Coturnix japonica: one gene and its partners. The protein of the gene in region 4 interacts with the protein of the main gene of each other region in a pairwise test. Links are inferred from orthologs where the notes say so. Each region holds a gene or a part of one and is shown on either strand. Other genes may lie near its edges.

Region 1 (5,371 bases), on a different chromosome or scaffold from region 4:
ATGCGGGTTACCCCCATTCTATGGTCCCAGCCCCTCTAAGAGCCAAAGCAGCAGCATTTAGGGGGGTTATGGGAGAGGTTATGATGCAAGAAGTCCCCTCGGTGCCTCCCCCTGCCCCACAGAGCGAGCGGAGCCCATTGCGTGCCATGAAACAGAGGCACCAAACACGGAAAAAGCTGTAAAATAAACACCAAAGGCACTTCAACACTGGCTGCTGTCTGAGATGCTTCCTGCTGAGGGGCAGCCTGAGGGTCACCACTGATGGTTATAGGGCCAGGCATCAGCCCTGCATCCCTAACACCAAACCCCCCCTTGAGCAAACCTTACCTTCTCCACGTGCTCTCAGTTTTGGGGTGGTGCTGCCTGGTTACACTGTGGGGCTCCCCAGGGCTGGGGGGTCATCAGCCTCACACAGCCTGCATCGCTGCTGTGCACCTCCCGGCCCCACACCGTCATTCTCTCTCTTACTCAAGGCAGCCTTCCGCTTTGGGGTTGCACTCAACTGCCGGTACGTGCACACGTTTCCTGTTTGCAGCACCACAAAGGGCTCAGCAATGGATCCCAACCCACCCATAGACCCCAACCCACAGCAGGAGCCCCCATCCCTGTCCTGCTGGATCCATCCCACAGCTGGACATCCCAAACCCCCCCACAGATACATCACAGCTCCTTCCCCACCAGCATCAAACTGCACCTCTGTGGCTGCACCCTTAAAGCAACCCCCAACCCACACATAACATCCCCCCACCCCCCATAGCACACCCCACAGCAGTCATTCCCATTAACAGCCATTCCCATTAACAGCCACCCCTTCTCTTTCCACCAGACAAGTGTTTATTCAGTTACACTCGCAGACAAACAGGTTCTTTCCCCTTCCAAGAAGCCTTAAAACAGTGTTTTCATAAATAAACATTGAATGCTGGGCACTTGCCAGCATCTCTGACAGCAAAGTGCATCACGGTATGAGCTGGGAGCAGCACCCTCCTCCTCTACATGGGAACACCCCGTGCCAATCCCAATCCCAATACAGAGAGGGGGAAACCAGTGAAAGTGCTGAGATCCGACAGCACCCAGAGCAGGGCTGTGTCCTATAGGGCATCCCTGGGTCACAGAGACAACAGCAGGAGCCAGGTCAGGCTCTGGAGTAGGAAATAGTCCAGGAGAAAAGCTGGCACTTCTTGCAGGGGCAGCCCCTGCTGGCAGTGCCAAGCAGCAGCTCAACATCCAGCTTAATGTCAGCATTGCACGATGCACAGCCAGCCAACACCACGCCAAGAACCCAATGGGGCAGCACAGCCTGGAGCAGCCCAGTGCCTCCCGAGCTGTGCCGGCCTCAAGGGTACACACCTCCAAGTACATTTGTCACCACTGTGTGACCAACACATCACTGAGTCACACTGGGAGCAGCTCCATGCAGGGCTCACACCCAGTGATCCACAGCAGGGAGGGCCATGGGGCTGCTCCATGAGACAGCAGGATGCTGCTGGGCAACACCAGCACGGGGCAGGAGACACCCTCAGCCCCACCTGCTCCATTCCAGTCCTTAGTCCTTCCCGTGGGCTCCTCCTATACATTGCACACAGCATGGGCCACTCAGGACCCCAGAGCTACTCATAAATAGGGAACTATAGACTCGGTATCGCTTTGTACAGACAGTGCAGGGCAGGGAAAGAGCCACGACAGCCTCCAGGGCACGGCAGCATCAGCATCCATCCCCAGCAGCAGTCACAGCCTGGGCTTGTCATGGACGACTCTTCTCTTGGAGCTGTAGAAGTCTGCAGGGCAAGAAGAGAAGTTGGGATGTATCAGGAGCAGAAGGAGGGGGCAGCAACCCAACCCCAACCCCAACCCCAGCCCCAGCCAGGTGGGCTCATAGCTTCAAAGCCCCGCATTTATGGGGCTGTGCATCACTTGGTCCCATCACATCCCCACTGCTGAGCCACTTTTGGGCCATGGGAACTGAGGTTGGTGATCCATATGGGGGTATTTTTTACCTATGGGACACCCGAGGCTGGTTCTGCTGCCTCTCCCCTCCAAAGATGGTTCTGTGCTAAGGGTGGTCCCATGGCATGAGGGGCATCCCCCCTCCACCACTCACCTTTAACAGTGGTCTGCCCCCGCTTCAAGTGCTGTGCAGAACCGACCCTGGTTTGCTCCGAGCTCTGCTGGGCTGCCCCACAACGAGCCCCACCGACACCATCCTTACTGGGGACCCTGCGTGGTGCTGAGCTCCCGTTGCTGCCGGGCTCTACCCGGGGGGGCTGCTCGGCCATCAGGACCCTCTCCCACTTGAAGTGCCCATCCAGGGGCGTCTCCGTCTCGAAGTTGAAGTTCCAACGTCTCTGAGCTTCTTCCAGCTGTTGCCTCAGCAGCTCCTCGAAGTCGTTCCGGATCTGTTCGTGGTCCACGGGGCCGAAGAGGTTCCTGCACGCTTTGCTGCTGCACGGCATCGGGCCGGTCCTGCTCTGCGCCAGCGGCATTGCGGCTGTGGGGAGGGGGATATAGAGGGGGGGATATGAGTCCAGTGCATATAATGGGAGCCCCCAGGACCCCTGGGGTGTTAATGATCTCGGCTATAGGGCAGGCTGGCACAGGGGGTCATTGAACCCGGACAGAACTGCGTTAATAGATGAGGGACCGCTCTGCCCCCCCCCGGGATGGGTCACTTAAAAATAGCCGCTTCCTATCAGCGGGGTGAGCTCAGAGCAAGACAAGTCCCAGCATGTCCCGGTCCGACCCGGTCCGGCCCACAGGAGGAGCGGAGCTGTCAAAGCCCCCCCGACCCCGTCCCCAATCACCCCCCATTGGGGTTTCTCTCCCTTCCCTTCTTTTCCCCCCCCCAGTACCGACACCAGCACCGCACTCACCCCACACTCCCCGTCGCTCTCTGCGGTTCCCAGCCCCGCACTCCGCCCTTTATATCGGGGCAGGGAGGGTGGGAGGGGCCTCACGGCGTCGCTCGGGATTTCCCCCCCCCGCCCCACCGCAGAGCAGCTGTTATCGGGGGGGGGGTTCAGTGCCCCCCCCCATAGGGCTGCACGGACCCCCATATGGAAAGCGGGTCGTCGCCTACTGTGCGATGCGGGACCCCCCCCCCCCCCATACAACGCGAAGGATGCGGGAGGGTCTTCAATACGGCTTTGCCAATTGAAGAGTAAAAAGGGCCCCTCCTGGGTCACCACGGGATGCTGCAATGATGGGGAGTGACGGGGGTTGGGGTGGGGGTCCTATGGGACCACCCCTGGGTGCTTTGCCCCCGAGGTGGGCTCTGCTCTACCAGCGGACCCCCCAGCAATGCAGCTGGGCTGGGGAGCTCCGGTTGGCCTGAGGTCAGCAAGCAGCAGGAACAAGCCCGTGCATGTCCTGCATGCAGCAAAGCTGCGGGTTGCATGCAGGGACGTGTGGCCCCGCTGCAAAATGACCCCCCCCAAAACACAGCAGGGGAGGTCTGAGCGCTGTGCAGCTCCCCGTCAGGGTTACAGCACAGTGCCAGGGCTCAGCTGGGTGGGCTGCAGGGGGCATAGGGGGAAGGAATTGGGTTTGGGCAGCAAACAGTGCTTGGGGTGCAAGGAGATGGCAGCACAAAGGCAGGCGGTGCACTAAGCTGGGTGAGCCTGCAGCTGGTGGGCTGCAGCTGAGCCCTGCAGTGTGCAAAGCCCCCCGTGCAAAGCCCCCCAATGCATCCGTTCCCAGGCTGAACCAGCATTTCCCAGCAGATAAAGGATATGTTTGGACATGTCCGGCTGCAGGCAGTGCGTCACACAGCAGTGTTGTCCAGCATCAGTTCCTCCTGCAGCTCTGGGCCAGGCCAAGGTGGTCGCTTTGGGGTTGGATCCTTCTGGATGTGGGGTGAGAATGAGGCTGTCAGAGCTGGCAGCTTCTTGAAGCTGATGGAGGAGTGTGATCTGCAATGATGACTGATGGAGGAAGAGCAGGAGCGATGCTGCAGTGAGGCAAGAATGAAGCAAAGCGATGTGAGATGAATGCAATCGGTTTGGCTGCATCCCAGGGGGAGCCAGCACGTGGAAGGGCAACCTCTGTGGTGTGCATGGGGATAGGATGGGATGGAGATGGAATGGAGTTGGGGATGGGATGGGGTTGGGATGGAGGTGGAATGGGGATGGGGATGGGATGGGGTTGGGAATGAAGTTAGAATGAGATGGGGATGGGATAAAGTTGGGATGGGATAGGGTTGAGGTGGGGTTGGGATGAGATGGGGTTGGGATGGGGATGAGATGGAATGGGGTTAGGGATGGAATGGTGTTGGGGATGAAGTTGGGATGAGATGGGGATGAGATGGGGTTGGGAATGAAGTTGGGATGGTGATGGGAGGGTGTTGGTATGGGCTTGGGATGGAGATGAGATGGGATGGGGATAGGATCAAGTTGGGATGATGATGGGGTTGAGGATGGGATGGGGTTAAGGTGGGGATGGGATGAGGTTGAGATGGGGATGGGATAAAGTTGGGATGGGGTTGGGATGGGATGGGGTTGAGATGGGGATGGGGTTGGGATGAGGTTGAGATGGGGTTGGGATGGGTTTGAGATGGGGTTGGGGTTGGGATGGGGTTGGGATGAGGTTGGGATGAGGTTGAGATGGGGTTGGGGATAAAGTTGGGATGGGTTTGAGATGGGGTTGGGGTTGGGATGAGGTTGAGATGAGGATGGGGATAAAGTTGGGATGGGTTTGAAATGGGGTTGGGGTTGGGATGGGGTTAAGGTGGGGATGAGATGGGGGCAGGGATGGGGTTGGGATGGGATGAGGATGAGATGGGGGTGGGATGGGGTTGGGATTGGGTTAAAGTGGGGATGGGATAAGGTTGTGATGGGGATGGGGATAAAGTTGGGATGGGGTTGAGATGGGGATGGGGTTGGGATAGGGTTAAGGTGGGGATGGGATGGGGTTGGGATGGGATGAGGTTGAGATGGGGGTGGGATGGGGATGGGGTGGGGTTGAGATGCTGGTGTGGAACCAACTTGCAGAGGAAATGGGAAGTGGAGAGAGGAATAGCGTCAGGGTCTGGGTCAGGCAGTGCGTGGTCGAGTCTGCAGTGGCATCATCAGCAAAAAGGGGGAAAAAAAAGTGTGATTAATGCGGAAAGTGATACAGGAACTAAGGAAAAGCCCAAAGGTGACTCACAATGTTCAGTCCCACAATGCAGGGTAGGAAGGTCCAACTGGGGACCAGGCAGGATGGGAACCAGGAGCGGTGCTGGGGGCAGCGCTTCCTTCTCCCCTCTGGGTGCAGCCCCACATCAGAGCTGTCACCCCCCAACCCATCCTCACCCATTACAAGGGCTGTCCCAGCTCCCCATGGCGTCACTGTGGAAGAATCCCTCCTTGACAAATAGATCCTAAGGGCTGATAGCAAT
Region 2 (4,756 bases), on a different chromosome or scaffold from region 4:
ACACACCTGTGGCCTTGTTCTCTGTATCTGTAAACCTCCTGATTTGGGGATGTATGTTGCTACTGAGCACTTGTGCCTCCTGTAAACAGGAGTCAGCCTTTGATGTCTCCTCCCAGGGAGAAGTCATTTGCTAGGGCTGGGATCCCTTGGTCTTTGCTTTGTGTTTTCTTTGTTCCTTAGGGATTCTCTTGTTATTTTTCATGACGAGAAGTATAGCTAGAAAAAACGTACTGGCAGCCTGTATCCTGGCCCATAGGGGTGGAAGATTTGAAGGAATGGAGTTTCTTCTAATGCAAATATGCCACTGCACTGAGACTGTGTGGTGTCTGTTTGCTCGGGGCAGCCCTGCTTCTTAGTCCAGAATTTGGAGCACAAAACAAAATTGGTGGAAAACAACACAACAACTCTACATTTGCAACCGAGCCAAGTATCTGCTCTTACTGAAGGAGTGTGTTTGTTACTGTTCGGAGGACACAGAAGACCCCTGACAGAAAGACAAGGGCATCACACATTACACTGATTCCATACACACAGCTTGACATCACAGGCTGTAATTTGTATGTGTATTCTTTTCCCTTCATTTCCAGTACAAATACAAATCTGCATAATACAGTACATAGCAAGCACTGCAAAATTACCAATGAAATGAAGGATCTGATAACAGGCTTTTTTTTTATTATTCTTTTTTGAACGATGCTGCATTACACAGACTCAAGCTGTGTAAATACGCGACTGCACCAAAAATGTTTTAAAGCTTTGAGTAGAGTGACGTACCTCGAGGGTAAAAACATGTTAGAGAAAGACACAGAATGAGGTGGGACTCCTATTAACAGCACAAGAAAATGCATCCAAAGAAGTAGTGTATGGAAACTTCATCTATCCAATGAAGGTTTATCTGTACTGGCAAGTTAATACAAAGATAGCTGGTACGGTATTAAGTATACAGACCATGCTGGAATTAGACAGATGTGTTTTAAAATACATGGGCTGTTTTTTCATAACAACATGATTTCAAAGCAGATTTCTTATTGAGGGAGCCTCCCTTCCTTAAAAGTAGGCTATCTGGCTAATCTAAGATGCCTGCTTGGTCCAACTGTAATTAACTGTAATTAGTTGGCAGTGATTTCCCAGAGGGCAGAAGCACACTAATCAGCAGGCTAACTGCTCCACTCCAACACAGCACAGCTCCTGGAGGAGAGCTTCCTGTGCAGTGTATCACTCAGAAAATCAGACTGGATATCAAATGCTGGAGGATGAATTGTGACAAACCTTAGCCAAAAGAAATAGCATTTTACATTCGAGTATTATACAGAGAATCAGAACATCAATCCCCAGTGCCGCCACAATTTTCACCCAGCTTTCATTCTGGCATTGCTCCATGACATGTTTGGAATGAGGGAGGTGAAGGGGTGCCTTTGAGCAGCACATACCTGTACGATTTCCAGCATCTCTGACTTACTGATGTAGCCATTCCCATCGAGATCATACATGCTGAATGCCCACTTCAGCTTCTGCTCCAGTTTACCTCTCGACGTCACGCTCAAGGCTATGATGAATTCTCTGAAATCTATTGTTCCATCTCCATTGGCATCAAAAGTGCGGAACACATGTTCCGCAAACTTAGAAGCGTCCCCATAAGGGAAAAAATTGGCGTAGATTTTTTTAAACTCCTCCATGGATAAGTGTCCACTTGGGCAGTCTCTCAAGAAGCCCTTGTACCACTCCTGGATCTCGTGTTCTGTAAAGTCTGTACTTTCTAGCAAATCTTGCATGACTTCAGGGCGTAGCTTGCTGTTCTGCTTTCCCATGTTGGTGTCAAAATGTTACCTACAGAGGAAAAAAAAAAAACCCCTTCATTTTAGTTATAATAGTCATAATTATTAATAACAATTAGCTTGAAGGCTGCAAAAGAACAGCGTACTGGAGTTTTCTGACAACTTGGGAATCAACTGAAAGTTTTGACAGTGTCTCCTGCTAGAAGCACACTCTGAAAAAACTAACAAGCCTCTCCTACATGTTATTTATTTTACCCTTTCACAGTGTAGAGAACTGTCATTGCACTGAATTTATTGCCATCCTACTTTCCCTTTTCAACCCCCATGTAAGCAATGGATGATATGAGGTGCAGGCTGACTGGTAGCTGTGTGCCACAGCACGTCCTTTAGCCAACTCAACCAGCTCAGGGACCTTACCCCAAAAAGTGACTTTTATTTAACTTAATTAATGGTATCAGAATGCATCTACCGTGGGCACAGAAACCAGGAGCTCCAAAGAACTTCTGGATACATCTTCATGAGTCAATTAGAGCAACCCATACTTTGCCTCTCTTGTTTGTCATGGATCAAATCCCATTTTATTTCGAATGCAGAAAAAATCTGGGCAGATTTTATGAACGGTGGATTCCCCATCCCCAAAATATGGGGGGGGTTGTTGTTGGTGGGGTTTTTTTGTTGGGTTTATTTTTGTTGGTATGCTTGTTTAAAATTCTCCTTGTAGCCAGAAATTGGAGTTCTTAGTAAGTAGCAGTAGTCTGGGTGGTCACGACCCTTTGAAAACAAAACCTTTTTAAGAAAGGGAGAAAAAAAGGATAAAGTATCCAGACAACAACACTGGAAATTCATTTCACTGAAATTACCAGTTAAGAAAAATTCCTTTACCTCCACCATTTCAGTTAAATCGCTTTAATTATATTTTATTTAAGGCAAGTTGCTACACATCACACTGTGCAGCAGATTTACTAACGATTGGAGTTGTTTGGATTTTAAGGTTCAGAGCCTGGGTGTGTTGGCTCCAAAGGACAGTGCCATCATTTGTCCTGGAAGTTTAGTGTTACACCTGAAATGTGGGGAGGGACGCTTTGTCGACAGAAACCTGCCTGAGAATTCATCAGGGGAACGACAGTCACAGCTGAAATCTGATGTGTGGACAAGTTAAGTAGAACTGCAAAATAATTTATACAAGACTCCCACGCTGTTGTCAGAGCAGAGTCTCTGAGATGCCGAGATGGATTTATGAACGATGCCTGGAGTGGCAAATGAATGTTCAGTAAAATGTCCTTTCCGGATCAAGGTAATACTTTTAAAAAGCACAGAATAAAACAGAATCATTAAGTGACAGCAGCAGCTACTGAGAAACGCACTACAATTTGAAGCTCAGCTCCTGCCTCTCCTATATGACACTAGGAAAGAGAAACAGGGGCTCCCCCTAACTGATGTTTATTGTTTCCTGTGGAAAGAAGCTGAATTCTCACAGGGAGAATTTGAACTCCTCAAGGCAGTTGGAGGACTGTCTCCTTCATCTCCTACATTCTTGAACCACAGCAACCTGAAAGCTTTATTTCTCAGAGATGAGATGGCAGGATCCATCTTAGATCTGCCTCCACAGGCTCCACCAGCTGCATGTCTGAGCTCCTAGAGCCAATGGAGCGGATGCGCCCTGCTCATGGACAGGAGGCTGACACACTGACGAGTCCTGTCCACTGGGAGCTCCTGCATCTCCTGCCCGCTTCAAGGGTCTGCACAACTAGCTCAATCCAAATTATGTCTTTTCTTCCCGAAGGATTTCCTAGACACTTGGAAAGTGGAAGATGCCACCTCAAAGATAATTTTTGACTACTACACTTCCTCCTGATGAAAACCTACATATAGTTCTTCAGTCATCCAAGCTCTTACTACCCTGAAAATGTCAGAAATGTCCCTGTTCTATAGACCCAGTTCAACAGCTGAGTGTTGCGTTGCCTTCAGTGGGTGTTGGTTGGGATTCCCAGTAAACAACATGGGTGCAAGCTGAGTGCACAGATCACATTAGACACAATTGTGCTAAGCAAAATGGCAGGAGTGAGGTCTTCCAGCAGGATGGAAAAGCACTTCGGCAAGTGAAGCGGCAAGGCTTAGTTTAAAATGGCACCATTTTAATAAAAGCAATGCAGCAAAATCCCACAGCACTTAGTATCTACTCATGCCTGCAGCCTGCAGCTGCCCCACAGCCCCTGCTCTGCAGACACTGAAGGAGGGAGGGAAGATCTCTGAACCACGCACAAGCCAGCTGCAGTGGGAGCAGGCTGGCATTAGCAGCATAATCCCTTGCTGCTTTTTAATACCTCAAACATTTGGGAATGCAAAGCTCAGCCTGTGCACTTCCAGTCTGGAGTCTTATGAAAATAGTATTCGGTCTCTGGCGTTCATGAGATAACCAACAATGTGTTTCAGACCAAAAAATGATGCATTTATAGCTGCAGATAGCTGCAGGTCTAATCTATTTTTTACCAAGGAATCAAAAAAAGACAGGATAACAGGATGCACTGCATTTTATTGCTAGCTGCAAAACATTGCCATCAGGAAAAATTCTGTGTTCTCCAGGCACGAAGGGAGAACCAACCTTATGTGGTTCAGCAAGGGGCAGAAACTTGCAGCCACTGTGATACCAAGCAATGAAGTCAAAAGCCATAGAATTTTTCTTGAGCCCACTTACAATGAATTTGTATCATGGTCCTCGCCCTCTGACTTGTTCATTATTAATAGGTGCTGTTCTAGGAACCATAATGAAGGGATTTATTGTGCCCATTCCATCAGCAGCAGATCAAAATGCCTTCGCAGCCAAGTACAGAAAATCCTTGAGGACACTCAAAGATCCTTATAATCACTTCGTAAACTGCTGCCTGCCTCTTCAGGATAGACTGGATTATGTGCAGAGCACAGTGAGCTGAGAGACTTCCAGTCAGCAATGGCAGCAATAAATGCAAAGAACAAAATGAAGC
Region 3 (5,347 bases), on a different chromosome or scaffold from region 4:
AGACGTGTGGTGGCACTGGGCTGGGCCCCTCTATGTCCCCGCGGTGCCCTGTGGGGTCTGAGGTTCATTGCTCCCTTTGCACCATTTCTACTCCCCCCACACTGTCCCATGATGTGAGGGGGGACACCTGGGGGGCAGCACATCCCACTCGGGGGAGCTCTCAGGAGGAGATTTGATCCCTACCTCCCTGTGCCCGTCACCATGCAGGGACCACGCAGCCCAAATCCCCCACGAAGGACACTCCACGCACTGAGGGCTGCACGCAGCCGTTGCAGCGCTGGGGACGGCAGGGTCCCCCCCCCAGCCACGCCCGTGGTGTCCCCAGGATTATTTCCAATGCACTGCACCATCTCCACGAGCATCCCTCCCAGCGGGGGCACCGTAGCACCAGGGCTGGATCCTGCCCCTGGGCGACCCCCGGCGCTGCCCCCCCCCCCCGCCCCTTTAGGGGCCGAACCCCCCAGCAATGCACCCACCCTCCCCCCCCCTACGGCCCCACTGCGGATGCGGCCGATTTACCGCATGGCTCCGGGGTGCGGAGCCGCAAAGCCCCCCCCGGGCTGCAGCATCCCGGTGGCTGCACCCTCCCGCCCCCCCCTCCAGGGCCCCCCGCCGCCCCCCGCCCCGACCCGGCCCCGTTCTCACCGTGGTGGCGCGGGCGGCGGCAGCGCCCGGTGCGTGCGGTCGCTCCCGCAACGCAGGTGCGGGGGGAAGAGCCGCCCGCCGCTGCGTGCGAGCCCTGCGCCGGCTGCCGACTGCACCACAAAGCCCCCCATGGCCCCCGGCCCCCCCACGCCACCGGGGACGGTGACGTCTCAAGTGCGAGGGAGCCGGGGACGCTTAACCCGCTGCGTGCCGGCCGGCGGCATCCGCGGCCCTGCGGGTCTCTGCGCGCTGCAGGACGAGGGGACGCCTCGCACCGCGGGGGTCGGTGCCGGGGGCCCGGGGCGACGCTTCTCCTCATTCCTGCCCTTATCTCGGGGGGTCCCGGCTGGTGGGAGGGTGGCGGGGGGTGCAGCGAGAGGGACCCGCTCGGCGTCACTGTCACCCGCGGTGCCTCCATCCCCGCAGCCGCCGCGGGTGGAAGGTTCCGAGCAGCGGAAAACGGGGCATTCAGCGGGGTGACACCCCACGGCGGCCCCGCCGGGAGCCGCGGGGAGGGGGCACCGCACAGTCCTTGGCCGTGTCCCCCGCCGTGCCCCCTCCCCGCCTCTTCCCACCCGTGTAGCCTCGGGTGGGGATCCCCCCATCCCTCCCCGCACACGGGCACGGCGTGGCGCAGGGGCCGCGCATCGGGCCCGGAGGGGTCCGAGGGGTCCGAGGGGATCCGGCCGTGGCCCCCCGGAGTGCTGGATCCCCGCAGCCGCGCTGTGTGTGCACAGCTGCAAATATTTGTGCCTCATATAAACCGTTTCTCTGGCCCCGTCGGCGGGGGAAGATTCACGCGGAGATTTCGGGTGGCCCCGCGGCTCCGTCCCACCCCCGGTGGCTGCAGGCGCTGCCCCACGGCCCGGGGGGAGGGAAGGTCAGCGGGGAGAGGCAGAGCCACCGCTATGGAAACGTTCCGCTTCTGGCGCTGGGAACGAGCATCAGCCCCGGGCAGCAGCGGGGCGGGAGCTGCGGGGACTCCGCTCCGGGCTGGGACCCCTCGGACATCGGTGCTGCCGCCCCCGGCCGCCCATTTCCCTTTCCAGCCCCCAGCTCCTCATTTCTCGCCCCCCACCCACCACCGACTGGCAGCGCCCGCAGCCAATAGTCGGGCGGTGCTGGAGGCTGCGGGAGGGGCGGGAGCGGCGCGGGCAGAGCCGGGGGCGGCAGCGCTGCCCGACGGCGGAACCGGCTTCGCTCGTGGCCGCTCCGCACGGACAGGTAACGGGGGGGGGCGGCGGGGCTGGGAGCCGCTGCCCGGGACGGGGCGGGGCGGCCGTCGGGGTCGGGGCCGTCGGGGCCGCGTTGCTGCGGATGGAGCGGATGGAGCCTCCGAGCTGCCCCCCCGCCCACGAGTGCCATCCCTCAGCCCGACCGCCCCGTCCCTCCCCGTGCTCTCTCCGTCTCGGGGATGCAGCTCTGACCGGTGTTGGAGGGGGGAAATGCAGCGGGTCCATGCGATGTCCGGACATTCCCTCGGCTCCATCTCTGACGGCGGTGGGTGGCAGCTGATGGAGGGATGCTGTTCTGTTGCTGGGCAGGATGCGGCCTCTGCCCGCCGCGTGTGCTCGGCGTGGGGCCCGTCATCCCAAAGTGCCCCAGAGTTCCCCAAGCCTGGAAAACTGGGTGCACAACGGGCGATGGGGCTTCGGTCGGGCTCCAGAGAGCGTGTCCTCAACTCTCTCCATGGAGAGCAGCTCGGGAGCCCTCATCAAACCCTCAGCTGCTCGGGCTGAGCAGCGGCAGCCAGGGCTGTGTGGGAGCGGGCACAGTGTGTATCATTGGAGCCGCTGTGGGCACAGTGTGTATCATTGGAGCTGCTGCGTGTGCTGCCCACACAATGCAGTGCTGTGGGTTGGGTGATGCAGGTGAGACTTCTCCTCACTTCGATGCCAGTGGCACAGAACTGCAGTGACATTTGGCAGCGTGTGAGTGCCACCAGCCGGGAGGGTCAGCTCCGTTGTGGGAGGGCTGTGGGGTCGATGGGGCGCTGGGGAGCGCAGCCACCCTGTAGCCGGCATCCAGAGCCCCACACTTCCCATCCCAGGCACAGCCATGGGCAAGCACAGCAGCAAACTGGCCCCGGAGGTGCTGGAAGACCTGGTGAGGAGCACGGAGTTCAGTGAGCAGGAGCTGAAGCAGTGGTACAAGGGCTTCCTCAAGGACTGCCCCACCGGCATCCTCAACCTGGAGGAGTTCCAGCAGCTCTACATCAAGGTGGGCTCTGATCGGGCACAGCCTGTGGGGCAGGAGCTCCCCTCTCCTGCTGTGTCGGGCTGTGCTCCCTCTGGGCTCCCCTCCCCGTTCCGATCTCTCTCCTTTCATCCACCCGCAGTTTTTCCCCTATGGTGACGCCTCCAAGTTTGCCCAGCACGCCTTCCGCACCTTCGACAAGAACAGCGACGGCACCATCGACTTCCGAGAGTTCATCTGTGCCCTGTCTGTCACCTCCAGGGGGACCTTTGAGCAGAAACTCAACTGGGCCTTTGAGATGTACGACCTGGATGGGGACGGGAAGATCACACGCCTGGAGATGCTGGAGATCATTGAGGTACTGCTGCTCCGATAAGTGGGGCACCTTGCATTTTTATGTGGGTTTTTCACAGGTTTGGGGCCCATCTGGCCATGAAAAAATGGGTTTTGGTGTCTGGAACCTTGGCTGAAAGGTGGCTGCGTAGGGCAGCAGCTCTGCCTTGTCTCAGCACCTCCTGGCCACCCAGCTCCCACCCCGCTCCTCTCCCTGCTCCAGGCCATCTACAGGATGGTGGGGACTGTGATCATGATGCGGATGAACCAAGACGGGCTGACGCCCCAGCAACGCGTCGACAAGATCTTCACAAAGATGGACAAGGACAAGGATGACCAGATCTCCTTAGAGGAGTTCAAGGAGGCAGCCAAGAGTGACCCCTCCATCATCCTCCTGCTGCAGGGTGATGTGCAGAAATAGGGCCTGGGGCTCAGGGCTGGACTGGCTGCATCCAACCTCGGCTCCCCATGATGGTTTCCATCCCCATGCCCTGCTGGTGCCCCTTGCCTGCTTGGTCCTGTGCTCTGTTCCTGCTGCCACCCCTCAGCTCTGCTCCTGGGCACTGCCAGCTCCAGGTCCCCTAAAATAGACCTGGCAGCACCCCATGGGGGCTGCTGGGGCTCAGAACTGGTCCTAGGTTTTGTCCTGCCCTCTCCACCCCCCTCACCCAGCTGAAGATTTTCTGCTTCTGCTTTTGATGGTGGGAATAGCCAAGGGTTGGTCAGGGGACTTCAGGAAGCGCCCAAGGCCACCCTTGGATCCCAGAAACCACCCCATCTCCGGTGGGTGACTCCTGGAACTGCCCTTGTGCTACTGAGGGTGCCCAGAGTGTTTCTGGCCCTGCTGACTGCTGCAGTGTCTGCTGTCCCAGCCCCGGCCTCTGCCCCTTCTGCCCCAGGACAGCGATACTGTCACTGAGTGGTATTTATTCAGCACATTGTGGTGACGATGACTGTGATATCTGTTAGGAGGCTGTGGAGTTACCTACTTTTTTTCCTTCTTTTTCTCTTTTTTAATGGAAAAATAAACTGTCCCCCATTGGTTGTGTTCCCCCTGAATGGCTCAGCAGGGGGAGAGCAACGCTCCTGAGCATCATTTTGGGGCTCCCTGGAGCCTGTGACATGCTGGGGAGGGATCGGTCCTTACACAGGAGGTGGTGTAATGTAACCCTGCAGCTGTGCACGAAGCTTTGGGAAGGAATAATGTCGTATTGGGTGTGTGTGGGGTAGGACTGGGCGTTTCACGTGCCCCCCAAGATTGGGTCCCAGCTGCCTCCGGGTTGGGGGCTGCATCCTGGGCCCGCTGCAGCACCGCCAGCCGCTGGGACCTGGGACGTGCTGCTGCTGCTCATCAACCCTCCGCCCTCACGCCCCCCTTCCCTGCACGTTTCGTTCTTCCCATCGGCAGCCTGCACAGACAGTGCCTGTTGCTAAGGAGCTCTCACCAACTTTAAGTGCTTCTCCGGATTTAGCAGCAGTTCTGGCTCAGCTCGCAGGCAGAAATGCGGCTCCCCTTCCACCCCGCAGTACTCCCACATCTCCCAGTCCTGAGAAGGAGGATGGGACGGTGCCAAAGCAGCACGTGCGTTCCCGGGAGCGCTGCTGAGGGGCAGCTCTGTGCCCACCCGGGAGCAACGTGCAGCTCAGCGGGGAGGGGGGGGACGGTGCAGGTCACACGCGCTGTGGGGACAAATGGGAATGTGCCAGCGCTGCCGTGTAAAGAGCAGCGGCTCAGGATGGTGGGAATGAGAAATTCTGGTTCCCCTCGGGCCCTTCCCGGAGGAAGCTGGAGGATTTGCCGCAGAGAACTGCGAAAGCTCCGGGGAAAAGGAGCCCGCGATGGGGCTGGAGTGGCGCTCAGCTCCCAGAAGGGCGTCCCCAAGGGCTTGGGGTGCGAGCAGCTGGCTGAGCCCTGGGCACCCCGGGCTGAACTGCAGGGCAGGGGAGGGGGCACCTGAGCCGCTCTCCTGGGCAGACAGAGGGCTGTGCTCCGCGCTGGGGCGGTGGTCTCCCTGCAGCCCCCTCCCACCCCAGCCCTACAACACCGCGACCACTCGGAGCCGCGCACGGAGCGGAGCGATCCTCAGCTGGGGGCACCTCCGTGCAGCAGCGCTTCTCCCCCAGCCCTGAGCTCCGCTGCCCCGCGACTGTCCCAGCCCTGGAGGGCTCCGTT
Region 4 (4,086 bases):
TTATTTGCCCATTAAGATAAACATTCTTGAATTATGACCAGTTCCATTAATTTTAAAAGTTCTCATGCACTTGTCTACTGGAGTACTAAACTGTCCAATTTCAGTAATGTACAGTCTGTTAGCTAAGAGTGAGATGCATTTAGAAGCTGCTGTTATTGAACACAAGACATTTGTCCGATAGTACTATTGAACTTCAACAAACAGTATTCTTTCACGCGGCAAAATCTGGAACACAGCTTTGTATAATCAATATTTAATACATCATAGCAGAACTGGGGAAAATTTTAAAACTCAGAGCAAGAGTGAAGGCTGTGGATAACGTATCTTAGATAACATGAGAGAGTCAGCATGAGTTCATCAGGGAGTTAATCCTAGAGGTTGTCACTAATACATGAGACTGGCAAAGTGACATCATTGATCTGTATTAATTGCTAATGTGAGATGTTAAATCCAAATTTTGAGGCTATTCTGAAGCACAGTGTGAAGTTTTATGTGGATACCAACATGTCCAGAGCTCTTGTTAGGCATAAAATATTAGGAGGGCATATGAAACCTTGTGGTGCTAGTATCAAGAGGAAGTCCATAAGTGGTATACTGGTAAGAGAGCTGGAAAGCCTATTTACATGCAACAAGGAAAAAAAAAAAATCCCCCACTCTTAATTATTTGCATTATATGTGAACATAAATTTGAGACTTAACTGTAGTAAACTAATCTCACTTTGTCATTTCAGGTCCCATTGAAGCCGATCAGACACGTTAGCTTTCAGGATGAAGACGAAATCGTTAGAATAAACCCTCGTGATATTTTGATACGTCGTTATGCAGACTACAGGCATCCTGACATGTGGAAGAACGACCTGGAGAGGGATGACGCAGACTCAAATATACCATTTTCTAAATCAGACAGTAAAAAATCTGACTATTTATATCCGTGTGGGGATGGGACTAAGTTGAATTCCCTGAAAGACTCAAAGAGTTCTGTGGTATTTAAAACTCAGCCTTCCTCATCAAAATTTAAAAACTCAAAAAGAAGAAAAGAGGATGGTGAGCGTTCCCGCTGTATATACTGCCAGGAAAGGTTTAATCATGAAGATAACGGCAGAGGAAAATGTCAAGATGCTCCGGATCCTATTAAAAGATGTATCTACCAAGTTAGTTGCATGCTTTGCGCAGAGAGCATGCTGTATCACTGCATGTCAGACTCGGAAGGAGACTTCTCTGATCCTTGCTCGTGTGACACTAGCGATGACAAGTTCTGCTTACGCTGGTTAGCACTGGTAGCGCTGTCGTTCATTGCTCCGTGTATGTGCTGCTACCTCCCCTTGAGAGCATGCCATCACTGCGGTGAGGCGTGTGGGTGCTGTGGAGGGAAGCATAAAGCTGCAGGATGAATCAGTCTTGTGCCAAACAGAGCTGAAAATCTTTGTTTCCAGGAAGCATCTAACTTGGATTTGTGGAAGCTTTTTGGCAAGCCGAAGGGAATCTTCTTTCACGTAAGAGATGCTCGATGTGGAAGAAGCAACAAGACTTGTCAGACCTTGGCATTTTACAAGTGCTTGCCACGCCTGACTGTTTCCTTTGAGCGCGTGGCGTTCGTTGCGAGTTGTGAAGGAGATTTTGCAAAGGAAAGCCTGTTCTTATTATTGGCTATAAAATGAGTATATAAACTATGATTATACTAAAAGGGATTAACTTTTGCCACTTTGTACATTCATGGTTTAGGTGAGGGGGCTCTTTTAAAAGGATTAAAACTTACCTGAGGGGAAATTTTAACTAAAAGTGCACTAGTGACAGTTGATTTAAGATTAAGAAAAGTTAATACTCGGCAATTGAGAAATGAAACTGATTTTAAGTGCAACTAAATCACTTATTAATAGTTTTTTGGAAGCGACTTTATGTATAAATAACAAATGTTTATATTTAACTAAATGTGTAAGGTACGAATTATTACATGTTAAACTTCCCTTCCCTCTGGTCTAGTAGGTATGGACCATATCTACTGTCACATTCCATTGTAGTACTTTAAATATTTAATTAGTTAATTTAGTTGCATTTTTATTCCAGATGGACAAATTGATATTTTCAGTCCTGTTTCCCTTCAGCTACAGTTTGTGTTGAGTTGTATCCATACATTCTGATAATCTAAAAACTTTTAAAATATTAATTATTCTAGTCTTGAGTGACCAATATTTTTTGTTAAGCACAGATGTAATTGTCTAAAATGTTCTTGTTAGAACATAACATTTATTTTTATATATAAATGACTTTGATTTCAACATAATAGCAAAAAGGAAGTTGTTTCTGTTGCTCAACCAGCAAGTTGTTTTCTTTTGGGGCATCCTCCAGAAAATACTTTATTACGTATACAGACGTTCATTAAGCAAAAGGTACATTAAGGCAGTTGTAACGAGTTGTCATCAGTGTTCTTGTTTATCTTTCTGTTAAACTAGGATCCTGTTCAACTGTTTATCGAGTACTATGATTAAAACAAAAGATTAATAACAAAAGTCAAATCGTTTTCATTATTTTGAACTGCAACTTTTTCTTACTTGAACGTGCAAGAACAAAGCCACTGGCTTTGAACAAAGGAAAGACTGCAGAAGTCTCGAGAAGTAAGCCCAGGCAAAACTGGAGTGAACTTAATGGAGTGAATTAGGAGGGAACCTGGGGAGTGGGATGGGGGAGTGCGTGTATACACACGTGGTGCTGTGCATATTTGGTACAGCTTTGTATTCACTATGTGTTTAATTTTCAGAAAAGAATTAAGCAGTTAACCCTTAGAGAATTTTTTGAAAACATATTTTGCTGTCGTGAAGTAAGAAGCATTTGCTTCTCATTAAAAAATATGTAAAACTATAAAAATAATCATTCGGTAGGGTAAGTGCCAATTTGTTGTTGCAGCTGGAATGGGGCGGACCGTCCTCAGAGTATCCCACATTAAACAAAAGCAATTGAGTTGAAAAGATGCGTGTAACTTTTCTCACCCTATGTATTTTTCAGTGTCGCTTGTGTACTTTGGTGCCCTTAGTTTTCTTTTGTAGCACAGAATTAAAGGAAACAAACATGTACATCATCTGTCCGTGAGTTACTTTTTAAAAGAAAACACTAATATTTACATTATGACTTGAATTGACCACGTTATGTACATAGCTCATCTCAAAGTATTATTTCACATTGAAAAGAAGAAGCATTATTGATAACTGTAGTAGTTACGAAAGAGCTTCCAGTTTCATAATGAGTTGGTCGGATGAATTAAGTCCACAAATCTGATGCTGTAGCAGCAGTCTTTGTTTTTACTGTTAATATATTTGCTGCTGCTCTGGTTGATTGTCATGCTGAGCACGTCTTCAGCTGAACTTGGTTTCCTGGAATAGACTGTTAACCTTAAAAGGATAAAATATAAACTAGTAATGTCTGCCTTGTGAATGGGATGCATTTCATATTTTTCAGTGCTAGGTTCCTAACTCAAGGTGAAGAGGGGAGTGAATGACCCAAGAACAGAACTCGCTGGCTTTATAGGTAAATACTGTAGAATCCTACTCTGTATATACTGCAGAAGGAAATGAACTTAATTCCTTCTGAGCACTAGTACTGTATTTTATATGAAACATATCTGCTTTAATATTTTTACTGAATGTGTGCATTAATATTCTCGTTTTGCATTTAACTGCTTTGCTAAACTGTGTTCATCTTTTTGCCTTCCCCTTTAAAGACTTGTTCCATCTGAAAAAAAAGGTTGGTGACGTTTCACAGTGTTCACTTTCCTTTTTGTGATGGAACTTGCAGCCTGCATGCCCGTTCTGAGATTAGTGAAGAGAAATGCAGAAGTACAGTTACATAAGGGGTGCTTTTGGTAGGATGCACGCATCCTTTTTTCTCTCCTGGTGTTAGGGATCCTATTCACGCTTGCAGTTAGGAGTAACAAATGGTGTTTGCAGATCAAACCCTTCGCAGAAACGGGCTTTTAAATCTGTGCGTCTTTTTGTTTTTGACAGCAAATAAAATCTTTTCTCCTCTGAGCCGTTTTCTTAAGCGTTTGGAAAACGAGACATTCCTTCCCCAGCCCTGACCCCCCTCTCCCTGGGC
Region 5 (5,300 bases), about 26 Mb from region 4:
CCCAGCCTGGCACTGCACCCCCAGGCCACCACCCCCACCACCCATACCCATACCAGCGCCTCCGTACCGGTGCGTGGCTGGGCGGTGCGGTCTATGGTGAGGGGCCACCCCTCCAGGCGCAGGGTGCGCTGCAGCACCTCGTAGGCGTGGGCGGTGGGGTCGGGGTGCGCTCTGTCCCCGGGTCCCTCGCCGTCGGGCACCTCCTCCTCCTGCCAGCCCGGGCACAATGCCTCGGGGCCGGCCCACTCCTGCTCCTTCATGTCCAGCGCCTGCTCCGCGCTCAGCCGGTCCACAGAGAGCTGTCACAGGGCACGGCGGAGCTGGCACCGCCACGGGCACGGCAACGGGCACGGGGGCCGCGGGTTCAGGGGAGGCATCGGGCAGCCACGGGACGTCGCTGGGGCGGTGGTGTCGGGGTGCCCGGGAGCGGTGCCAGCCCACGGACAAAGCGTCCCCTTGTCCCCGCGGGGTCACGCGGAGGCGGTGGGCACGGCGCTGCCACACGGAACACCCGGCACCACCCAGCCCCGCCGGGAAAGGGGAAGGGGCCCCCCGCCCGCAGACCCCGGGCCGCCACTCACCATGTTGCGGGCGTCGGGAGGCTGCGAGAGACGGGAGAGGGGTCGCGGTGAGCAGGGCGCAGCCCGCACCGTCGGCCCCACTGGTACCGCGCCGTGCCACCGTGCTCCCGGAGGGACACTGAGGCGTGCGGCCACACGGCCCCACCGGGAAGAGCCGTGCCCCGCAGTCACGCGTGGCCGCTGGCAGTGGGGCGGCCCCGTGCCCGGGCTTAGCGGCACAGAGCCCTATTGTCCCCGGCTTCCACCCGCCCGTCCCCGGCGCCGCTCGGTGCCGCCCCGCACGTCCCCCGGCTTAGCGCAACGGCTGCCCGCGATTTCACCGCCGGACACGCGCAGCACGGCGCACGCCAACACCCTCGGACACGCGTGGAGCGGGCGCCGCCTGCACCCACCGGCGGTCGCTGTCGCTTTCGGGCGGTCGTGGCGGCGGTGCCCGCGGAGCCGTGCCCGTTCTGCACCGGCGGCGGAGGCGCCTTCGGTGGCAGAAGGGCGTCCCCGGGGGAGGGCGCGGGGCGGGGCGGGGAAGGGGGGGAGAGAGGGAATGGGGGGTGTGCGGGGTGTGCGGGCACCAGGATTCAGGGGTGCGGGGTATCAGGTGTGGGGTGTGAGGGAACTATGGGGCGTGGAGACAAGGATGCGAGGGCATGAGAACATCTGGGGCGTATGGGGAAATGGAGATGGGGAACGAGGGAGCACGGGGAGAAGGATCTGTGGGGTTACGGGGATCCGGGGACACGGGGATTTGGGAATACGAGGCACGGGGACGTAGCGACGGGTAAATCGGAGGATACGGAGATAAGGGAAGATACGGGAAAAGGGGGATCTGAGAGTGGGGGACGTGGTGACAGAGCAACGTCGGGGTGGGGACGGGTAGATCGGAGGAGCCGGGGCACGGAGACACGGGATGTGAGCACACCGCGACGTGGGGCCGCACGGATCGGGGGACACGGGGAGGCGGGACACGAGCAGCGGGACACGCAGCCGGCAGCGGAGCGGGGACAGTTGCCGGGGTCGTTCGGGGACAGCGGCGCAGCTGACACCGCGGGGCTGAAATGTCACCGGTGTCACCGCGGGCAACGGGCCAGGCTGTGCCGGCACCGCGCGGCTCGTACTGCACGTGGGGGCGGCACGGCGGCACGAGGGGCACAAGTGAGGCGGGTGGAGCCGGTGGCAGCACCGTGTCTCTCGGCACACGTCCCCGCGGGGCTCCCCACGCGCCGCGAGGCTGACAACGGCAACAGCCGCCGGGCAACCGGCCGGCACGGGGAACGACACGGCGCCGCCTCGTGGGAGCGCGCAGCCCCCACGCGCCTCCGCGGCCTCCCATCCGCCATGGGGCGCTCTCGCCACCCGCCGCTCGCCCCGGCCGCTCTCTATGGCCGCGGGGCCGGGACCGGGGCGGGCCAGGGCGGGGGGGGGAAGCAGCGTCCGGCGGCCATGGCGGATACCGAGAAGCTCAACCTCGACTCCATCATCGGCCGCCTCCTGGAGGGTGAGCGATGGGCCTAGTGCTCCCGGACCGCCTCGGGAGCCGCTAGGGGAGGGAAGGACCGGCGCTGTGCCGCCAAGGAGGGGCTGGAGAACGGGGCTGCGGGCCGGGGCCTGCGGGGAAACGGGGGCCGTGCGAGGCTCTGGGGGTCCAACTGTGGGGCTGTGGGGCAGCGGGGGGTATCGGGGCAGCGGGGGGCCGGGGGGAGCCGGGCGGTGGGAGCCGCTGGGGGCTGTGGGAATGAGGGGGGCTGCGGGCGATCGGGGCGGATGGGGGGTGGCTGCAGAGGGCCGGGGGCACCGGGAGGGCCGTGCGTTAGTGCGGGACTGTTAGGGCACGGCGGCTCTGCGGGCTCCGGGGGTGGAGTGGGCTCTGCTGAAAGCCACCCCCGCACAGTGCAAGGCTCACGGCCTGGGAAGAACGTGCAGCTGACAGAGAACGAGATCCGGGGGCTGTGCCTGAAGTCACGGGAGATATTCCTGAGCCAGCCCATCCTGCTGGAGCTCGAGGCTCCGCTCAAGATCTGCGGTGAGCGACGAGCCGGGGGGAGGGGAAGGGGGCGGGCTGGGAGCCAGCGTCACCGCGTGTCCCCCGCGATCTTCTTACAGGCGACATCCATGGACAATACTATGACTTGCTTCGGCTCTTTGAATATGGAGGCTTTCCACCAGAGAGCAACTACCTATTCCTTGGTGACTATGTTGACAGAGGAAAGCAGTCTTTAGAAACAATTTGTCTTCTATTGGCCTACAAAATTAAATACCCGGAGAACTTTTTCCTGCTGCGTGGCAACCACGAATGTGCCAGCATCAACCGCATCTACGGCTTCTATGATGAGTGTGAGTGCTGCACCGGCCCCACTACTGACAAACGGGACTGCCTTGTCACCTCACTGCCAACCCCATATGATACAGCCAGCCCAAAGTCCCCCCTTCCATCCCCATTTGCAGCTCTTCCCATCTCCTGCAGACCTTATGTTCATCCCAGCTACTTTCTCCTGCAGACCTTATGCCCCCATCCCAGCCATCTCCTCCTGCAGACCTTATGCCCCATCCCAGCTACCTCCTCCTGCAGACCTCATACCCCCATCCCAGCCACCTCCACGGCCACCCCCCCAGCCCCCTGGAGGGTTCAGTGCTGCCCTGTGTGTGTTGTGATACACCAGAGGGTGGGGAGGGTGGAACATGGCCCACATGAAGGGCTCCTGTGAGCACCCACCCCGCTGCCTCACAGGCAAGCGGCGATACAACATCAAGCTGTGGAAAACCTTCACCGATTGTTTTAACTGTTTACCAATTGCAGCAATTGTGGATGAGAAGATATTCTGCTGTCACGGAGGTGGGCACAGGGCTGGGGGCTGCCGCCTGGGTCCAAAGGCCGCCACACAGCATAACCTGACACTCCTGTGCAGGGCTGTCTCCTGACTTGCAGTCGATGGAACAGATCCGGCGCATCATGCGACCCACGGACGTACCCGACCAGGGCCTGCTGTGTGATCTCCTGTGGTCTGACCCTGACAAAGATGTCTTAGGATGGGGTGAAAATGACAGAGGAGTGTCCTTCACCTTTGGGGCCGAGGTGGTGGCCAAGTTCCTGCACAAGCATGACCTCGATCTCATCTGCAGGGCACACCAGGTAATGGGGTCGGGCCTCACCTGGGCTCCATAACGGTGGAGCTTTTCCCAGGAGGGGCCATTTGCTCTTGAGGATGTGGTTGGGCTCTTTTGAAGGGGATGCTGCCCCCTGGGGGAGTTGGTGGGCTCTATGGACAGAGAACAGGGAGATATGAGTGCTGCTGCCCCACAGGTGGTGGAGGACGGCTACGAGTTCTTTGCCAAACGCCAGCTTGTCACCCTCTTCTCTGCACCCAACTACTGCGGGGAGTTTGACAACGCAGGAGCCATGATGAGTGTGGACGAGACCCTCATGTGCTCCTTCCAAGTGAGCTGGGGCTTTGCCGGGGAGGGGGCAGCACACAGGGCTCTGCCTGCAGCCCCTTCACTCACCCTTCACTTCCTTGCAGATTCTGAAACCAGCAGACAAGAACAAGGGCAAGTACGGGCAGTTCAGTGGGCTGAACCCTGCTGGCCGCCCCGTCACCCCACCACGCAACTCTGCCAAAGCCAAGAAGTGAGTGTCCACCGCCAGCAGCCCCAGCACCAGGTCGCTCCTTTCTCCATTCGTTTTTTTATTTGTCAGATCCTGCCCTTGCCGCTTTCTACTGTACCAAATGTACCCTCTGGGGCAGGACCCGCCCCTCAGTTGGCAGTGAAGGCAGGGCAGGAGGCTTTTTTTGGGGAATAAACTTGTAATGGGTCTTAAGATGTGGCTTTAGGATCACACCCTACGTGGCCAGGCAGTGCCAGCTGCTGCGCCATGGCATCGCAATGGGGGCTCTCAGCATTCGGCATCGCTGTCCTCTGCCAGCACCTCCTGGCTGGGGGCTGGGCCAGGCCCCCCCGGTGTCAGCACGGAGCCAAAAAACAACGAGCGGAACTTTGGGGGGGTGAAAAGACACAGGGTGAGGGGGCCGTGCCTGTCCTGTTCCCTCCCCCCATTCTGGTTCCTGTCCCACACCTTCTTGTGAGGGGGTGTCCCTGGCACAGCCCTGTCCTCCTCCTCTTCCTCTGGGTTGCTCTCTGCGGGGCGAGGAGTATGCAGGGGGAAGGTGGGGCTGGGGGGTGCTCCTGCCTCCCCCTCGCAGGCGCTGCTTTCCAAAGCCACCATGTAGGACTCGAGGTCATCGGCAAAGTCATCAGAAGGGGCAGGTGGGTGGGAGACGCTGCTAGAGGGGACAGTGAGTAAATGATGGGCAGCATTAGGACCGTTCACCGGTCCCTGCTGCTGGCAGCATGGGGCCCTTCACTCTGATCCTGACTGATGGCAACGGGATGTTACCCATTGGTGGCAGGTGTTGGCTGTGAGTCACCCTCTGGGTCCAGAAGGGTGGCCAGGACAAGGTGTGCCTCCATGAGGGAGTCATCCAGGGTGAAGATGGCTGGCCTGGGGGCAAACAGGGACTGCGTCAGAGTCCGCAGAATCCCTGGAGGATGGGGCTGGGAGGACGAGGGATGCATTGGGTCCTACCTGCCAGGCTCATCATAGTGGATGGTGAGGGGCAGGCTGGAGGCCTCAGCGAAGCTCAGGAGCCCCTGGGAGGAGATGGGGCTTAGGGGGCCCGTGGGGCCGCTGGGATGTGGGGCACGGGGTCACGGTCACACTCACCCTGA
Region 6 (4,756 bases), on a different chromosome or scaffold from region 4:
TAATGAAGTCTTTGCTTTGCCTTCCTCAGTCTCCAATCCCTTCTGGAAACAGTGCATGGGAAGCTCTGGACACATTGTCTCAGACCTCTGCAGAAGAGGATGGGTCTTCTCTCCCACCTGCAAGTGAGAACCATCACCCAGACACCGGATTTTCTCTAAAGTAAGATACTGTATTTGAAATCAGATTTGCAGATCAGTATTGGTGAGTTTCTGTGCTGATTAGCTGATAATATTCTCAGGCAGGAGCACACAACAGTAAAAAACAAATAGAGATTGGCAGGATGACCCACACAGCTTGTAAATTTGTTTTTTTAATAAGCACAGACATATTTCAAGCTTCCACCTTGTTCATGAGCATTTCTAGTGACTCAGTGGTAGAAACAGAAAGTGAAACAGACATCATTACTGCATGTACCAGTGAGGAAACAGAGGAATTTTAGTATGTTCCTTCCAGAAGATGTGAAAACCTTATGGCTTCCCAAAATTAAACTAGCTGTAGCTAGTCACTGTGATGAGACGGTGCAAACATCCTGATGCTCCTCACATTTGCCCTTGGTTTTGCTGCATATCACTGAAATAATATTACATCAGGTCTAAAAAGAAGCAGGTCTGGCTCAAATACATGAAGGTGATGTAGCCAGAGCAGGGCACAGGTATCCCCCAGGACAAAAGGCACCAACAATACTAAGCTTGCCTCCCTTAATGTTTTGTATGCATTTTCAGTTAGTCAAAGATTGGGGGAAACAACAAAAATCAATAGAGGTACTCTTAGCAAAATACTTCAAAAGCACATACAAGCCTTCTTTCAAAAATCTACTGTACAGATTACAAGAAATAATAACAAAAATCTACTGTTTGCATTCTCAGAGAAGATCATTACAATCACATGAAAATGAGAAACTGAAGAACAAAAGCAGCAACAAAAACCACAGAATGTTTATTTAGATCCGTGTTAGCCTAGAGCCAAGAGATGATTATTCTATATGACTGATCCTACTTCTGCTAGGCTAATACAATATACGAATGTATTCGTAACACTTATGAGAGGAACTCATGGGGGAATCTAAAGATGACTGCTCCAGAAGTGTCTGCTCTGTGCTTTTGTATGTCCTTTCATAACTCAGTGTTTCTTTTTCATTCCTTTCACAATGGGACAGCCTCTCTGAGCTGAGAGAATACACTGTGAGCTTAGCAGATAGCGAGAAAGAAGAAGAGAAACAGGAACAAGGCTCACCTCAAGCATCCGGTGTGTCAGGGCAGTCTGTCATCTCTCTTCTTTCCCCTGAAGAGTTAGCAAAGCTCATAGAGGAAGTCAAATCACTAGATGAAGCAACCTTAAAGGTAAATGAGCCTTTATTCGGTGTGATTTTCGATTTGATTTTTAGTACATGGATTGGACATGCCTGGTTCGGCTTTGCAACTTCATGTTATCACAGATAAAACTTGGAAGAAATGTTTAAGCTGTGGAACTAATATCCATGAGCTGCAAGCCAGATTATTTTTTCCTCTTTTTCTGCACTTATATCATTAAGCATTTTCTTACTCTATCATACTCTTAAATTTGATTAAAATTATAGTCAGATCTAATTGACTCATGTTTACATAAATGTTACAGTTTTGGACATAACATTTCATAATAGAGGTAATTGATAAGGAAATGTGATCAAAACAAAACATTTAAGATGTCTCAGCATTATGCTTAAATCCTCATTACTAAGTGCTCAGTGGGCAAATAGAAAATGCATGGATTTTCCAGTCAACTCAATGTATGTATTAGGATGTTCTTGACACAATTTATTTTTCTGCCTAGGAATTAGATGATATTCACGTTACAATTCTGCATAAAGAAGAAAACACTGGGCTTGGATTCAGCCTGGCAGGGGGTGTAGATCTAGAAAACAAAGTGATAACAGTAAGTAGCATCTTTCTCAAAAAATACTCTGAAACAACTACTCTCTCTAAAAATACATATAACTTGCTGGTTTTCTACTACCAAGGTTGGCTTTTGGCATAATTAAAGTAGGCAGCTGTTCACACAGGGTCAGAAAAATCTTGGTTGTGAGAATGCACAGAGGTTTCTTCTCCACGTAATTATTAGCAGGAGCACCCCATTTCCTTGGGTACCACCCTCCCACACAACAGTTCTTAAAGCCAACAACAGGAAGCAACCACCTTGCAAAGAATGGAAAATACACAAGTGAAAACTAATAACTGAGTAATTTCTTTCCTTTTTTTTTTTTTTTTTTTTTTTTTTTTTCCCTCTTTTCTTGCATGCCTGTGTGGTAATGGGGCTTTTCAATAGGTTCACAAGGTGTTTCCCAATGGACTAGCATCTCAGGAAGGAACTATTCAGAAAGGTGATGAAGTACTTTCCATTAATGGAAAGTCTTTTAAAGGGGCGACTCACAACGATGCCTCAGTGATCATGCGACAAGCTCGACAACCCAGACAAGCAGTTGTTGTCACTAGAAAAGCAAAAGATGAAGACAAAAGTCACAACGTTTCAATTGGCTCTAGCACATCTTCAGTTGCAAGTGATGCCTCACAAGAATCAGGTAAGTTCAGCAGTATTACCTCGCAGCCACTACCTGCTCAGTGTTTAATCAGCGTTTGACAGGATGAGAGGTAATGGCTTTAAGTCAAGGAAGGTTCAGGTTGGATATTAGGAACCATTTCTTCTCACAAAGAGTGGTGAGGTATTGAAACAGGCTGCCCAGGCAGGTGGTGGAATAACGATCTCAGGAGGTTTTCAAGAATAGGGCAGACACTGTGCTGAGCAACATGGTCTGGAGCGGTCACAGACACGGGCTGATGGTTGGACTTGATGATCTTACTGGTCTTTCTAACCTTGATGATTCTGTGATTCTAATATCATCACCTGAAATCATGGGTACTCATGGAGCTGCTCAGCACTGGCTGGGTAAATCTGAGAATCGCGATCAGGGACAACACGGTTTGTGAGACATTCCTGAATAAGAGAATTTATTAAAAGAGATATTTAATATTAATTTATTAAAAGAGATATTTAAGATAACTTGGGAAAGAATTAATGGATTTCTAAAGTAAATGAACACTGAAAAAAATCAGACCAAACCAGAAAACCAACCAACAACCAACTGTGAGATCCTCCATATTAATTTCTGAACACATGTAAATGCTGTTATTCTAGTAACAGGCCTAACTGCAGTTAAAGTAAATAGTCATTGATTCTGAATTCTAATATGATGGTTTCTAATTTGAAGTTTTCACTTCATAAGACTATTTTCCTTTGTGAAAGAGTTACTGGTTTAAACAACATGCTGGTGATTGATGTAGCAGGTGGCGACATCCACAACTACATGGGCAGATTAAGTTGCAGCTTTCTGGTGAATAAGAATTTCAAAACTAATGTCAAATCAAATTAAAGCTCATTTATTTTTTTAACAGATCTTATAGTTTTCCAGGTATTTTTGTGCCCACCTGCTAATTTTCAATTTATTTCCAGCAACCGAAGACACAAACTACACTATAACTCTAGAAAAAACAGCTGCTGGTTTGGGATTCAGTCTGGAAGGTGGAAAGGGCTCCATTCATGGAGATAAACCCATCATCATCAACAGGATATTTAAAGGTAAACACACTTCAGCGTGTAGCTGGCAGGTTCTTTGTTGATAGAGTAGCATAGTTCATAACTGACTGCTGATTTATACTTGTTAAAAAGGGATATTTTGTAAATGCAGCATTATCCCATCCAATACAAGTAGTTTTTGCCTCCTGGAACAGGCGATTTATACCAAACATGATGATGAACCCTAATGAGTGAAAGATTAATTAAAAACTCCCCCATACAGAGAGAATTCTTACTATTTTTTCTTCCTCCCCCTGCAGGGACCTCATTGGAGCAAAGCAGCCCAGTTCAGCCCGGTGATGAGCTATTACAAGTGCATACTACAGCCTTGCAAGGACTCACTCGTTTTGAAGCATGGAATATAATCAAGGCATTGCCTGATGGGCCCATCACAGCTATCATCAAAAGAAAGAATCCAAGCACTGTTACCAAGAAGGCATCTGAAACTTTGTAAGAGGAGTAATTAGACTACTGCCAATATTACAAGCAAAAAGAGATGTTGTGGTTTATCACTTACAGACATCTGGCTACTACGGCGAGATACTCAAACTGTATATGAAAGATACATACAATTCTACTGCCTGTTAGAGAAAGCTGTTTGGGATGAAAGGAGATGTGAACAAAACGTACATGATTACTATTTCAGAAAATTGTTTCAGTGTCAAATGATAACAAAAAATGACTTTATAAATAATATACTGGTTGTACTAAGATGTGAAAGCGCTGCAGTACTCTTATTTTAAGCCATTCTACAGACTGAGAGCACGTTCTGCAACAAAGTGTTCAATTCTGCTTTACTAGTTTTGCATCTCATGGTATTTTTCAAGGGTGAGGCAGGAAGCTGAGGGTAATAGAGTGAAGGTTTTCCAACCTTCCTTTGATCACAGATCTCACAGGACCAGAGCAGAACAGCAAGGCCATCTAGAAACAAGAGGGCATGTTATTTTTAAATATCTTTGTATCACTTTGTAAGGAAAAGTGTCATTATTTAGAAATTCAACCTTCTGAATTCAAACTTTTACTCTGGAAACAGTAATTCAGACACAAAACTATGCTGCAAATGCTGCTGCCCGTATTCTGGTACCACTCTCCCATATGCTGTATAGAATTCCACGAGCACAGAATACATCAGATTACCTCAGTGTTATT

What was found.
Region 1: the proteins of SPRED1 (region 4) and CDKN1A interact in binary tests that used the Homo sapiens proteins (3 or more experiments, as listed by UniProt). The link is inferred for Coturnix japonica from reciprocal best matches to the Homo sapiens genes SPRED1 and CDKN1A.
Region 2: the proteins of SPRED1 (region 4) and NCALD interact in binary tests that used the Homo sapiens proteins (3 or more experiments, as listed by UniProt). The link is inferred for Coturnix japonica from reciprocal best matches to the Homo sapiens genes SPRED1 and NCALD.
Region 3: the proteins of SPRED1 (region 4) and HPCAL4 interact in binary tests that used the Homo sapiens proteins (3 or more experiments, as listed by UniProt). The link is inferred for Coturnix japonica from reciprocal best matches to the Homo sapiens genes SPRED1 and HPCAL4.
Region 5: the proteins of SPRED1 (region 4) and PPP1CA interact in binary tests that used the Homo sapiens proteins (3 or more experiments, as listed by UniProt). The link is inferred for Coturnix japonica from reciprocal best matches to the Homo sapiens genes SPRED1 and PPP1CA.
Region 6: the proteins of SPRED1 (region 4) and IL16 interact in binary tests that used the Homo sapiens proteins (3 or more experiments, as listed by UniProt). The link is inferred for Coturnix japonica from reciprocal best matches to the Homo sapiens genes SPRED1 and IL16.

The regions. Positions count from the first base shown.
Region 1 is NC_029541.1:1,947,092-1,952,462, reverse strand, and holds CDKN1A (cyclin-dependent kinase inhibitor 1), read right to left. Parts: upstream 2,990-5,371; 5' UTR 2,868-2,989; intron 2,486-2,867; 5' UTR 2,481-2,485; coding exon 2,099-2,480; intron 1,776-2,098; coding exon 1,726-1,775; 3' UTR 817-1,725; downstream 1-816. UniProt on the Homo sapiens protein: Plays an important role in controlling cell cycle progression and DNA damage-induced G2 arrest. Involved in p53/TP53 mediated inhibition of cellular proliferation in response to DNA damage.
Region 2 is NC_029517.1:116,695,588-116,700,343, forward strand, and holds part of NCALD (neurocalcin-delta), read right to left. Parts: intron 1,828-4,756; 5' UTR 1,809-1,827; coding exon 1,431-1,808; intron 1-1,430. UniProt on the Homo sapiens protein: May be involved in the calcium-dependent regulation of rhodopsin phosphorylation. Binds three calcium ions.
Region 3 is NC_029538.1:4,839,563-4,844,909, reverse strand, and holds HPCAL4 (hippocalcin-like protein 4), read left to right. Parts: upstream 1-1,799; 5' UTR 1,800-2,072; coding exon of another isoform or gene 2,073-2,090; coding exon 2,091-2,145; intron 2,146-2,695; coding exon 2,696-2,865; intron 2,866-2,983; coding exon 2,984-3,199; intron 3,200-3,397; coding exon 3,398-3,595; 3' UTR 3,596-4,218; downstream 4,219-5,347. Other genes in the region: protein FAM49A-like, read right to left, coding at 2,073-2,120. UniProt on the Homo sapiens protein: May be involved in the calcium-dependent regulation of rhodopsin phosphorylation.
Region 4 is NC_029520.1:25,909,077-25,913,162, forward strand, and holds the end of SPRED1 (sprouty-related, EVH1 domain-containing protein 1), read left to right. Parts: intron 1-731; coding exon 732-1,391; 3' UTR 1,392-3,068; downstream 3,069-4,086. UniProt on the Homo sapiens protein: Tyrosine kinase substrate that inhibits growth-factor-mediated activation of MAP kinase. Negatively regulates hematopoiesis of bone marrow.
Region 5 is NC_029520.1:169,307-174,606, reverse strand, and holds PPP1CA (serine/threonine-protein phosphatase PP1-alpha catalytic subunit), read left to right. Parts: upstream 1-1,763; 5' UTR 1,764-1,913; coding exon 1,914-2,073; intron 2,074-2,466; coding exon 2,467-2,598; intron 2,599-2,678; coding exon 2,679-2,909; intron 2,910-3,303; coding exon 3,304-3,408; intron 3,409-3,481; coding exon 3,482-3,705; intron 3,706-3,876; coding exon 3,877-4,011; intron 4,012-4,093; coding exon 4,094-4,204; 3' UTR 4,205-4,392; downstream 4,393-5,300. Other genes in the region: CARNS1 (carnosine synthase 1), read right to left, coding at 68-299, 582-584; cell cycle checkpoint control protein RAD9A, read right to left, coding at 4,468-4,566, 4,648-4,855, 4,969-5,073, 5,158-5,222, 5,296-5,300. UniProt on the Homo sapiens protein: Protein phosphatase that associates with over 200 regulatory proteins to form highly specific holoenzymes which dephosphorylate hundreds of biological targets.
Region 6 is NC_029525.1:10,822,460-10,827,215, reverse strand, and holds part of IL16 (pro-interleukin-16), read left to right. Parts: coding exon 1-160; intron 161-1,157; coding exon 1,158-1,341; intron 1,342-1,810; coding exon 1,811-1,912; intron 1,913-2,302; coding exon 2,303-2,555; intron 2,556-3,484; coding exon 3,485-3,610; intron 3,611-3,867; coding exon 3,868-4,061; 3' UTR 4,062-4,756. UniProt on the Homo sapiens protein: Interleukin-16 stimulates a migratory response in CD4+ lymphocytes, monocytes, and eosinophils. Primes CD4+ T-cells for IL-2 and IL-15 responsiveness. Also induces T-lymphocyte expression of interleukin 2 receptor. Ligand for CD4.